Saccharomyces cerevisiae S288C: one gene and its partners. Each later gene encodes a partner of the first gene's protein in a complex. Each region holds a gene or a part of one and is shown in the gene's direction. Other genes may lie near its edges.

What was found.
Region 2: YJU2 (region 1) and MUD1 share a complex: the UniProt entries of both Saccharomyces cerevisiae proteins name them as parts of the spliceosome.
Region 3: YJU2 (region 1) and SNP1 share a complex: the UniProt entries of both Saccharomyces cerevisiae proteins name them as parts of the spliceosome.
Region 4: YJU2 (region 1) and RDS3 share a complex: the UniProt entries of both Saccharomyces cerevisiae proteins name them as parts of the spliceosome.

Annotation. Positions count from the first base shown.
Region 1 is NC_001143.9:260,559-263,613, forward strand, and holds YJU2 (mRNA splicing protein YJU2), read left to right. Parts: upstream 1-1,718; coding exon 1,719-2,555; downstream 2,556-3,055. Other genes in the region: CWP1 (Cwp1p), read left to right, coding at 574-1,293; YJU3 (acylglycerol lipase), read left to right, coding at 2,791-3,055. UniProt on the Saccharomyces cerevisiae protein: Part of the spliceosome which catalyzes two sequential transesterification reactions, first the excision of the non-coding intron from pre-mRNA and then the ligation of the coding exons to form the mature mRNA.
Region 2 is NC_001134.8:477,463-480,853, forward strand, and holds MUD1 (Mud1p), read left to right. Parts: upstream 1-1,875; coding exon 1,876-1,883; intron 1,884-1,972; coding exon 1,973-2,861; downstream 2,862-3,391. Other genes in the region: TEF2 (translation elongation factor EF-1 alpha), read left to right, coding at 209-1,585; CBP6 (Cbp6p), read right to left, coding at 2,973-3,391. UniProt on the Saccharomyces cerevisiae protein: Involved in nuclear mRNA splicing. The principal role of the U1A is to help fold or maintain U1 RNA in an active configuration. It is the first snRNP to interact with pre-mRNA.
Region 3 is NC_001141.2:244,131-247,340, reverse strand, and holds SNP1 (U1 snRNP complex subunit SNP1), read left to right. Parts: upstream 1-1,781; coding exon 1,782-2,684; downstream 2,685-3,210. Other genes in the region: YIL059C (uncharacterized protein), read left to right, coding at 426-791; YIL060W (uncharacterized protein), read right to left, coding at 515-949; ARC15 (Arc15p), read left to right, coding at 2,879-3,210. UniProt on the Saccharomyces cerevisiae protein: Involved in nuclear mRNA splicing.
Region 4 is NC_001148.4:718,929-721,460, forward strand, and holds RDS3 (U2 snRNP complex subunit RDS3), read left to right. Parts: upstream 1-1,708; coding exon 1,709-2,032; downstream 2,033-2,532. Other genes in the region: ubiquitin-protein ligase ASR1, read right to left, coding at 630-1,496; Arf family guanine nucleotide exchange factor SYT1, read right to left, coding at 2,109-2,532. UniProt on the Saccharomyces cerevisiae protein: Required for pre-mRNA splicing. Involved in regulation of drug sensitivity and may play a role in multidrug resistance.

The DNA of each region.
Region 1 (3,055 bases):
AAAAATCGGACATCTGGAAAGTTACGAATATAGAAGCAGATACCCCTCTTGACGGCAAACATTGTGTGCTCGACCTTCTATCCCGTTAAAATATCATAATAAACAAACCCCTCCCGCGAAAACAAAAAAAGAGAGCTAAAAAAAGTACTTCTTCGCGTTATAGATGGTGCCGCACCGTACGTCATAACTAAAAATAGCGTTAGCCACAGCTCCCTGAACGAAAAGGGCCCTTCGGCCCGATTGGAATACGGGTCCGCTTACGTCTGTGCGTGCGGGTTGTCCCACAACGGTAACTTACTCCAGGAGAGCCATCTCGAAGGTGCCACAAAAGAAAACAAAAAAAACAACAAACAATAAGCTCTGTGGTTCACGTTCAATGTAGTGTTTTTTCACCTTTTAATTTTGATAATTTGTGGTGCAGAAAAAAAAAAAGCAAACAAACAAAATCTCAATTATTTAAAGGACGATCTTAACGTTTCTTTCTTTCGCTATCTTCCTTGAATTTTTTTTCTGTCTGAAGTAAAATATCCCGTAACAAACTAATAAATACTACGAAAGTCTCAAAAAACAATAATGAAATTCTCCACTGCTTTGTCTGTCGCTTTATTCGCCTTGGCTAAGATGGTCATTGCCGATTCCGAAGAATTCGGCCTGGTGAGTATCCGTTCCGGCTCGGATTTACAATACTTGAGTGTTTACAGTGATAACGGCACTTTGAAACTTGGCAGCGGTAGTGGCTCATTTGAGGCAACTATTACCGATGACGGTAAACTGAAATTTGACGACGATAAGTATGCTGTTGTCAATGAGGATGGCTCATTCAAAGAAGGTTCTGAGAGCGATGCTGCCACTGGTTTTTCTATTAAAGATGGCCATCTAAACTACAAGAGCTCTTCTGGTTTCTACGCTATCAAGGACGGGTCGTCTTACATTTTCTCTTCTAAGCAATCCGACGACGCTACCGGTGTTGCGATTAGACCAACTAGTAAGAGCGGATCTGTTGCAGCAGATTTTTCTCCAAGCGACTCTAGTTCCTCTTCATCTGCTTCTGCTTCGTCTGCTTCCGCATCATCTTCTACAAAGCATAGTTCGAGTATAGAATCTGTCGAGACCTCTACTACTGTGGAAACTTCCTCTGCTAGCTCCCCAACTGCTTCAGTTATCTCTCAAATTACTGATGGACAAATCCAAGCTCCAAACACAGTTTACGAACAAACAGAAAATGCAGGTGCCAAGGCTGCCGTCGGCATGGGTGCTGGTGCTCTAGCGGTCGCAGCTGCTTACTTGTTGTAAGTACGAGAACAAAACCTGCATGTTTTATTTCCTTCAATATAGCTTTCTACATAATGATCACTTACATATAGCGTAATGTAATATGAAATGGCCCATAATATTCTCTTACATTGTCCTCCTACCTACATTCCTTTTCTTGCATGCAGCTCTCACATTCCCCGATTCGCTTGAAAAATTTAAACTTGTAGAAAAGTAGGTGAATGTCCCGCCGGCGGTTTCTCTGCTGCATGTAGAAAGATGGATATACAGAAAAGGAGATAAGAGTAGCTATCTCAAGTTTGTTCCACTGACTGCTAATACGCATAGAGTTGTTATTTATTGTACATATTCGAAAAAAAGCAAGAAATCACTACGGTGACCTCAGTAGAACGAACTAATAAGTCAAACCAAATTAACCGTTTCCAGGCTGATAGGAGAATACAAGAATGTCTGAAAGAAAAGCTATTAACAAGTACTATCCACCGGATTACAACCCACTGGAAGCTGAAAAGCTATCCAGGAAAATGGCTAAAAAACTGAAAACCATGAATAAGAGCCACGCATCGATTAGATTAATGACCCCATTTAGTATGAGGTGTTTGGAATGTAACGAATATATTCCCAAAAGCAGAAAATTCAATGGTAAGAAAGAGCTACTGAAGGAGAAGTACCTGGACTCCATTAAGATATATAGACTAACCATTTCATGTCCACGTTGTGCCAATTCCATTGCATTTAGAACAGACCCCGGTAATTCAGATTATGTAATGGAAGTGGGGGGCGTAAGAAACTATGTCCCTCAGAAACCAAATGATGACCTGAACGCTAAAACAGCTGTCGAAAGCATAGACGAGACACTGCAACGCTTAGTGAGAGAGAAGGAAATGGAGCAGAACGAGAAGATGGGTATAAAGGAGCAAGCAGATGACAAAATGGATTTGCTGGAAAAAAGACTAGCCAAAATTCAACAAGAGCAAGAGGATGATGAGGAACTTGAAAATTTAAGGAAAAAAAACCTTGAAATGAGCCAGAGAGCTGAAATGATAAACCGCAGCAAACACGCACAACAAGAAAAAGCAGTAACGACTGATGATCTGGACAACCTCGTAGATCAGGTATTTGACAATCACAGGCAGCGTACCAATAAACCTGGCAATAACAACGATGAGAAGAGAACTCCGTTGTTTAATCCTACATCCACTAAGGGAAAAATACAGAAGAAAAGCTCTGTGCGTACGAATCCGTTAGGGATAGTTATAAAACGAGGAAAGTCTCTCAAATGACCTAGAAAAGTAAGGAACGTACGATTGGTATCATGATCTCTTGTGATGCTGTGCTACTGTGGTTGCTTCCACACTATAGCGTCCATCGCTACTTACGAGGGGCGACAGCCCCTTCGGACTTCGAAGTGTCTGGCCGTTTTTTCATTGAATTTTCTTATAAATGAATACATATCGGAAAAGCCATTGTTGACTAAAGCAAGCCAAAGCCACACAAACCGAGGACAAATAGAAAAGCATGGCTCCGTATCCATACAAAGTGCAGACGACAGTACCTGAACTTCAATACGAAAACTTTGATGGTGCTAAGTTCGGGTACATGTTCTGGCCTGTTCAAAATGGCACCAATGAGGTCAGAGGTAGAGTTTTACTGATTCATGGGTTTGGCGAGTACACAAAGATTCAATTCCGGCTTATGGACCACTTATCACTCAATGGTTACGAGTCATTTACGTTTGATCAAAGGGGTGCTGGTGTTACATCGCCGGGCAGATCGAAAGGTG
Region 2 (3,391 bases), on another chromosome or scaffold:
TCTTTTCTGGTGTCGCTCCTTCTAGTGCTATTTCTGGCTTTTCCTATTTTTTTTTTTCCATTTTTCTTTCTCTCTTTCTAATATATAAATTCTCTTGCATTTTCTATTTTTCTCTCTATCTATTCTACTTGTTTATTCCCTTCAAGGTTTTTTTTTAAGGAGTACTTGTTTTTAGAATATACGGTCAACGAACTATAATTAACTAAACATGGGTAAAGAGAAGTCTCACATTAACGTTGTCGTTATCGGTCATGTCGATTCTGGTAAGTCTACCACTACCGGTCATTTGATTTACAAGTGTGGTGGTATTGACAAGAGAACCATCGAAAAGTTCGAAAAGGAAGCCGCTGAATTAGGTAAGGGTTCTTTCAAGTACGCTTGGGTTTTGGACAAGTTAAAGGCTGAAAGAGAAAGAGGTATCACTATCGATATTGCTTTGTGGAAGTTCGAAACTCCAAAGTACCAAGTTACCGTTATTGATGCTCCAGGTCACAGAGATTTCATCAAGAACATGATTACTGGTACTTCTCAAGCTGACTGTGCTATCTTGATTATTGCTGGTGGTGTCGGTGAATTCGAAGCCGGTATCTCTAAGGATGGTCAAACCAGAGAACACGCTTTGTTGGCTTTCACCTTGGGTGTTAGACAATTGATTGTTGCTGTCAACAAGATGGACTCCGTCAAATGGGACGAATCCAGATTCCAAGAAATTGTCAAGGAAACCTCCAACTTTATCAAGAAGGTTGGTTACAACCCAAAGACTGTTCCATTCGTCCCAATCTCTGGTTGGAACGGTGACAACATGATTGAAGCTACCACCAACGCTCCATGGTACAAGGGTTGGGAAAAGGAAACCAAGGCCGGTGTCGTCAAGGGTAAGACTTTGTTGGAAGCCATTGACGCCATTGAACAACCATCTAGACCAACTGACAAGCCATTGAGATTGCCATTGCAAGATGTTTACAAGATCGGTGGTATTGGTACTGTGCCAGTCGGTAGAGTTGAAACCGGTGTCATCAAGCCAGGTATGGTTGTTACTTTCGCCCCAGCTGGTGTTACCACTGAAGTCAAGTCCGTTGAAATGCATCACGAACAATTGGAACAAGGTGTTCCAGGTGACAACGTTGGTTTCAACGTCAAGAACGTTTCCGTTAAGGAAATCAGAAGAGGTAACGTCTGTGGTGACGCTAAGAACGATCCACCAAAGGGTTGCGCTTCTTTCAACGCTACCGTCATTGTTTTGAACCATCCAGGTCAAATCTCTGCTGGTTACTCTCCAGTTTTGGATTGTCACACTGCTCACATTGCTTGTAGATTCGACGAATTGTTGGAAAAGAACGACAGAAGATCTGGTAAGAAGTTGGAAGACCATCCAAAGTTCTTGAAGTCCGGTGACGCTGCTTTGGTCAAGTTCGTTCCATCTAAGCCAATGTGTGTTGAAGCTTTCAGTGAATACCCACCATTAGGTAGATTCGCTGTCAGAGACATGAGACAAACTGTCGCTGTCGGTGTTATCAAGTCTGTTGACAAGACTGAAAAGGCCGCTAAGGTTACCAAGGCTGCTCAAAAGGCTGCTAAGAAATAAGAGTAATAATTATTGCTTCCATATAATATTTTTATATACCTCTTATTTTTATGTATTAGTTAATTAAGTATTTTTATCTATCTGCTTATCATTTTCTTTTCATATAGGGGGGGTTGGTGTTTTCTTGCCCATCAGATTGATGTCCTCCAACTCGGCACTATTTTACAAAGGGTTTTTTTGTAAGAGAAGGAGAAGACAGATACTAAACCATACGTTACTCGAAACAAAAAAAAAAAAAATGGAAAAAGCTGCTATCAACAAAAGACGGCCTCATCAAACCTAAAGAAACCATGTCAGCGTATGTATATACCTTGTAATTTACGTTTCCTTAAATCTTCTTTCTACTAACGTTTTCATTATTCTATACTCTATGACCAATAAAAACAGACTGTACTTTCAAAATTTACCCAGTAGGCCAGCAAATAAAGAAAATTATACCAGATTACTTCTGAAACACATTAATCCCAACAACAAGTATGCCATTAATCCGTCGCTACCCCTTCCCCACAATAAATTACAAATATCATCACAACCGCTGATGTTACTAGATGATCAAATGGGCCTTCTTGAAGTTTCTATTTCAAGATCATCAAAGATGACTAACCAAGCATTTTTAACGTTTGTCACTCAAGAAGAAGCAGACCGGTTTCTAGAAAAATACACGACAACAGCATTAAAAGTTCAAGGTCGTAAAGTGAGAATGGGAAAGGCTCGAACAAATTCGTTATTGGGTCTTTCAATAGAAATGCAAAAAAAAAAAGGTAATGACGAAACGTACAACCTTGATATAAAGAAGGTGCTTAAAGCAAGGAAACTTAAACGCAAGTTACGTAGTGATGATATATGCGCCAAAAAGTTCAGGCTTAAAAGGCAAATAAGACGCCTGAAGCATAAGCTGAGATCAAGAAAGGTAGAGGAGGCTGAGATTGATAGGATTGTAAAAGAATTTGAAACCCGTAGATTGGAAAACATGAAGTCTCAGCAAGAAAATCTAAAACAATCGCAGAAACCTCTTAAGCGGGCTAAAGTGTCCAATACAATGGAAAATCCACCGAACAAAGTCCTTCTTATACAAAATTTGCCAAGCGGCACTACCGAGCAATTATTGTCGCAAATACTTGGCAATGAGGCTTTAGTTGAAATCAGATTAGTTAGCGTTCGTAACCTAGCTTTCGTGGAATACGAGACCGTTGCTGATGCTACGAAAATCAAGAATCAGTTAGGCTCCACTTACAAGCTACAAAACAATGACGTTACCATAGGATTTGCTAAGTAGAATTTCCTTTGCGGAAGTATACCTCGAGTAAAGAAATTCACAGATAAATTTGAATAACGTTCTCCATTATGAATAAATATGTATTTACAAGCTTAGAAAATAATGTGCTCTTTATTTACCAAATAATACAGTTCTCATTGCAGTAAATAAGCTTTCCTTTTTCTTACCGTCAACGGCATTTATTAACCGTTGATAATATTGGGGATTTCCTGCAGGTTTATAGAGCTTATCGCCAATATCGTAATAGTTTCTGAATTTATTATTCATTATAGTGCTCAAGGCACGAATTTGCTCGTTGATGCTTTCTTCCGTGAATTTCTCATCTACCATTTTATTTTGAATTTTGGTTAACATCTCCTTATTCAGTCCTAATGGACCGGAAGTTCTGTTAATTATACTTTTTATTTCATCTAATGAGGGTTTTTTCTCTTTTATAGATTTTCCTTTGTCATCTACATTTGGCAGACCCGCTACACGTCTAAATCTTGCTATTTGTACATCCCTGAATGAGACCAAGTGGTGTATACGAT
Region 3 (3,210 bases), on another chromosome or scaffold:
CTGTTTGTCAGTAAGTCACGTAGACCTGTATCGGCAGTAACTATGGTATTTTTTCCAGATTAATTATTATACGATGTTGTTACTTCGATAAGGTCACAACAGGTTTTCCATTGTTGAGAAACTGACTTTGATTATTATTTAGTTAGTAGGCAACTGTCATGTTGCAACCACAACAAGCAACAATCCTTTCACCATGACTATTATAAGCGGCCGGCAAAATTGCCGGGAAAACTGCCAGGGATATAATGCAACCTTCATTTGAGCACTTAAAATAGAAGATAACGTTGGTAAACCCCCCTTGATAGTGGACACATCCTACGTAGATCTCTCTACAGCCAAGTCGTATATATAGCAGCAAATTGCAACCAACCACATGGGACATAGGAATGAGTGGTTTTCTCAGACCCTGAACGTGACCGTCCATCATGAATTTCTCCACAGTTTTTCAAGCAATAATCGCGGTTTTAGGTTTAACTACAGTCACAGCTTTAGCAGAATTTGATTTCGACGTAGGCTATGAAGAGTTTGTCCGTACCAATCCTGATACGATTTTCTTAGAGAGTGATATTGGCCTGCACGTTGGATATACCGAGGGTGGCGAACGACAGATAGCAACGATACCACACAATTCCACGCTAGGGACTTCACTACGTGAGTATAGTGGCTGTGGTGGTAATGGTACAGAAACCTCCATCGCTACCCCCGCACCTACAATGAGTGAGGTACCTATCGCTACCTTCGTGAAACGTAGAAAAAGTGTACCTATCTTGCTACCGCAGGTATGTATGTGAAGAGTTGGTGAATTTTGAGATAATTGTTGGGATTCCATTTTTAATAAGGCAATAATATTAGGTATGTAGAATGTACTAGAAGTTCTCCTCGAGGATTTAGGAATCCATAAAAGGGAATCTGCAATTCTACACAATTCTATAAATATTATTATCATCATTTTATATGTTAATATTCATTGATCCTATTACATTATCAATCCTTGCGTTTCAGCTTCCACTAATTTAGATGACTATTTCTCATCATTTGCGTCATCTTCTAACACCGTATATGATAATATACTAGTAACGTAAATACTAGTTAGTAGATGATAGTTGATTTTTATTCCAACAGTATGGGAGGTATATGAACCCCTACAACCACTCATTTAGAAGTGGGGGACTGTAGTTCTTTTATGAAGTAACGAAATTTTATGAAGTAACAACAAATGTTGTTAATTGTAATCTTAATAATCTAACATTTAATAAATCTTGACCTTAGACTTTTTTGTCTATTCATAATATGCTGATATTACTTTTCTTAAATATAAATATAATCTATATAATATTATTAACGAAATGTAGGAAGCTAAAAAAAAAAAAAAAAAAAAGAAAGAGACTTTTATGCGTATATTTAGGTACCCCGGTACTTACTTCTGTATATATAAATCAGTGAATCAATACATATTTTTTTTTAATGTTTTGTCCTTATAACGCGACTTATTCAAAAGAAAAAAAGAAGTCCCATGCAAAAATCTTGTCATTATTGCGAATGGATATATCAGTGAGACCTTTTTAAGGTTGTAGGGAAAAGGAAGTACGCTTCATTACAATTTCGTTCATGTCTTGCTCGCCTACTTGTTTTGCTCATAAATCCCATCAGCACCATTGTATGCGCCCTTCGTAGGAAATTAACGCATCTGAAGAAAAAAAGAACTGCAAGATAATGACACACAGCACGGTCATCGACTGTCGAAAGGAAACCTTAAAAAAGTAATCGGCACCTCAACCTTGATGAATTATAATCTATCCAAGTATCCAGACGACGTGTCGAGACTTTTCAAGCCAAGGCCACCTTTATCTTACAAAAGACCAACCGATTACCCATATGCGAAGAGACAAACAAATCCAAATATCACTGGCGTTGCAAACTTACTATCAACCTCTTTGAAGCACTATATGGAGGAGTTTCCTGAAGGATCTCCAAACAACCATCTCCAAAGATACGAAGACATCAAACTTTCCAAGATCAAAAATGCTCAATTGTTAGACCGGAGACTACAAAATTGGAATCCTAACGTTGACCCTCATATCAAGGACACAGATCCCTACAGAACGATATTTATTGGGAGGCTACCATACGATCTTGACGAAATTGAACTGCAAAAGTATTTTGTTAAGTTTGGCGAGATCGAAAAAATTAGGATAGTCAAGGACAAGATAACCCAGAAGAGTAAAGGCTACGCCTTCATAGTTTTCAAAGACCCAATAAGTAGTAAAATGGCATTCAAGGAGATTGGAGTACACAGAGGTATCCAAATCAAAGACAGAATCTGCATAGTCGACATAGAAAGAGGCAGAACCGTTAAATATTTCAAGCCAAGAAGATTGGGCGGCGGCCTAGGAGGCAGAGGCTATTCCAACAGAGACAGCAGGCTTCCAGGAAGGTTTGCAAGCGCAAGTACATCAAATCCCGCCGAAAGAAATTATGCTCCCAGGCTGCCACGCAGGGAAACTTCTTCCTCCGCATATAGCGCTGATAGATACGGCAGTTCCACATTGGACGCGAGGTACCGTGGAAACAGGCCATTGCTCTCCGCCGCCACTCCTACTGCTGCTGTTACTTCTGTATATAAATCTAGAAACTCACGGACTCGAGAGTCTCAACCAGCTCCCAAAGAAGCGCCCGACTATTGAATATAAGTAATACTTAAACTCTGCTACTTGTTGTCTATGATTACCCGCACATCAGTTAATTTGGATACTTTTTTCCCTTTCTCAGACTTTGCCCCTATAACAAAATAAGAGAAAAACAGCCCGCATTTAACACAAGATACTATAGCAAAGGAGACCAGAGAAGACTCAACACAACACACGCGAACGATCAAGCAATGGAAGCCGATTGGAGGAGAATTGACATCGATGCATTTGATCCAGAGAGTGGCAGACTAACCGCTGCCGATCTGGTACCACCATACGAAACTACTGTCACATTACAAGAATTACAACCTCGAATGAATCAATTGCGCTCGCTTGCCACAAGTGGTGACTCTTTGGGAGCCGTTCAATTACTCACAACCGATCCTCCATACAGTGCAGATGCTCCAACAAAGGAGCAATATTTTAAGAGCGTCCTTGAAGCATTGACACAAGTCAGGCAAGCCGATATTGGTAATGTAATCAAAAATTTGAGTGATTCTCAGAGGGACGTGCTGGTAAAGTA
Region 4 (2,532 bases), on another chromosome or scaffold:
ACCATAATGCCATCAACATCGCTCCTTTAAAAAATTTGTACACAAAAGAACGATGAGAGTAGACGGCGACCCTTTAACAGATACTAATATGTCCGCCCGGTCGACAACAAATCATCATATCAAAAGGAAAATTAAAAATTCCATTGCAGGCATGAAAAAGATAATAATGAAAGATAAATGCTTTCTTTTCTTCCCTTCCGTGGCACCCCTCATACAAGGCTGAAACTTAACGAAAAAGGGTTGTCGACATGTAGTTAAACCACTATTCAGTCGGAACAATTGGTATATGATTAATAATTTTTAATCATAGGGGAGTCACACAGAAAGAAAATGGAAAAAGAAAAAAGGAACTCATATATTATCTCTTCCAAGGGACCTACTGGTCGCTTAATCTGCCTCTTTGTAGTGCAGTAGCACTCACAATGGTGCTATATTTGAGTTTGTTCAACTGTTTTCTATTGAAGACGAAGAAGCAAACAAAGGAAGATGTGAAAAAAAAATTCTATGGGTCAAACTTGTGCTTTTATACGTCGTACGAGAGATGGGTCACCCGCTTCTGAGGGTTTTTTTTAGGGCTCATACTAGAGTATTATACTGTTTATATCTTGTTTTAATGTTATATTGCATTACTACTCATCATGACAGTAAATTAGGAGTTCTGTGTGCACTCCAGTTCGGGCTAAAGAGTCGTAATCGTACTGGTCAGGCAGGTACTTGTTGTCAGAGAGACGGTACAACTTGCGGGATACTTGCTTGTTGACGTGCTTGTAGGCATCCTTGAAGCGCAGCAGAGGCAGTGGGTACCGGTCCAGTGCTCGTCGCACGTGCATCTGGATTTTGTGCTTGGCATTCCGTATCTGTTCATACATCTGCTGTGTCTTGACGCTGTGCTTGTCCCGTAACTCACCAGCAAAAATCATGGAATTCCTGGAATCGTAGCTAGCAAGTTGGCTACTGATAGCACCCATGCGCAGCTCGAGCAATGCATTTGATCTACAATCTGTGCACTCCTGCCACGTATTGCGATCGCCCACCTCACAAGCTAGCCCGCGTAGACATGTTTCGTGATATATTGCTTCGCAGTCTTGGCAATACAGGCTTAATCGAGAAACATCTGTGTCTCCGCATATGCTGCACTGAATTATCTTAATGGTATCCATCACCAGCGTACCTCTAAGCCTTTCGCTGAGAAATTCTATTTCTTGGTCTTGCTCCCCTGTATCGTCCTCATTTCTTTCGTTAGTTGTTTCGGCCCCCACATAATCGATAGCATTCTTAATCATAAACCCCATCTTCAAATTTATAGAAAGTGCATGTTGCCCTTCGCCAACTTCTAAATGGGTGGATTCAACCCTGCAGATGGGGCACTTCAAGTTGATACTATACTTGTGCCACTCTCTTATACAGTTTAAGTGGAATTTATGCCCGCAAACGTTCAAACATCCAAATTGTTCACCCTCTTGGTCATCTGCCAAACAAATAGGACACTCTTCCATCTTTTTATATGATATTTGGATATTTGGCTGAGGGTATGGTCTCTCCCTTGGCTCAACTCCTTGCATCTTTTTTTCTATTTTTTTTTCTCACTTTCTGTTCTTCCATATATGCATTACTTGCCATATTTCTCACTTACTAAGGCATTCAACATAGAAAATGAAGATGGATACAAAAAAGATCCACACACATACAAGCCTCCAACAAAAAAAACATGTCCCGCCATCAGTTTGATCTAATAATGTGCCTAAAGCAGCCTGGTGTACAGACAGGTCTTCTTTGTGAAAAATGTGATGGCAAATGTCCTATCTGCGACTCTTATGTAAGGCCCAAAAGGAAAGTTAGAGTATGTGAAAACTGTTCGTTTGGTAAACAAGCTAAAAATTGTATAATTTGTAATCTAAATGTTGGAGTCAATGACGCATTCTATTGTTGGGAGTGCTGCCGCTTAGGTAAAGATAAAGATGGCTGTCCTAGGATCTTAAACCTTGGCAGCAATAGACTGGATAGACATTTCGAGAAAAAGAAAAAGGTATAACACATACATATAGAATATGTAAAAATATATAAATAAATAACATGCATTTATAACCCATGGTACTATTTTCTTCCCCTTATTCGTTACTATATTCGTCGTAACTACTGTCGCTCACGCACACTTGCAAACTGTTCTCGTTGAATAAGAAGCTTTCCTCTATATCATCTATACCATCACTATCGTCGTTATTGCCTTGCCCCTCCTCTTCTCCTTTACCATGCTCTAAGATATTCTTTTCAGCCTGCTTGCGAGTCACTTCTTTTATGATACTTACAAACAGCTCGCTTCTCTTAATTTCGTAGATTAACCAGTCCATTCTGACAGCCAGCTGTCTTATGCGGTTTATCATATCTGTCTTAGTCTTTGTGCTAATAGGAACACATTTTCCCATAAGCATCAGAGTGCTTTCAAATTTTTTCAATTTCTCCCATTTGGCTGATTTTATAGACCTAAGTCTTTCCATCCTCTGCAAAATGGTAAGCTTTCTCTTATTACAAATA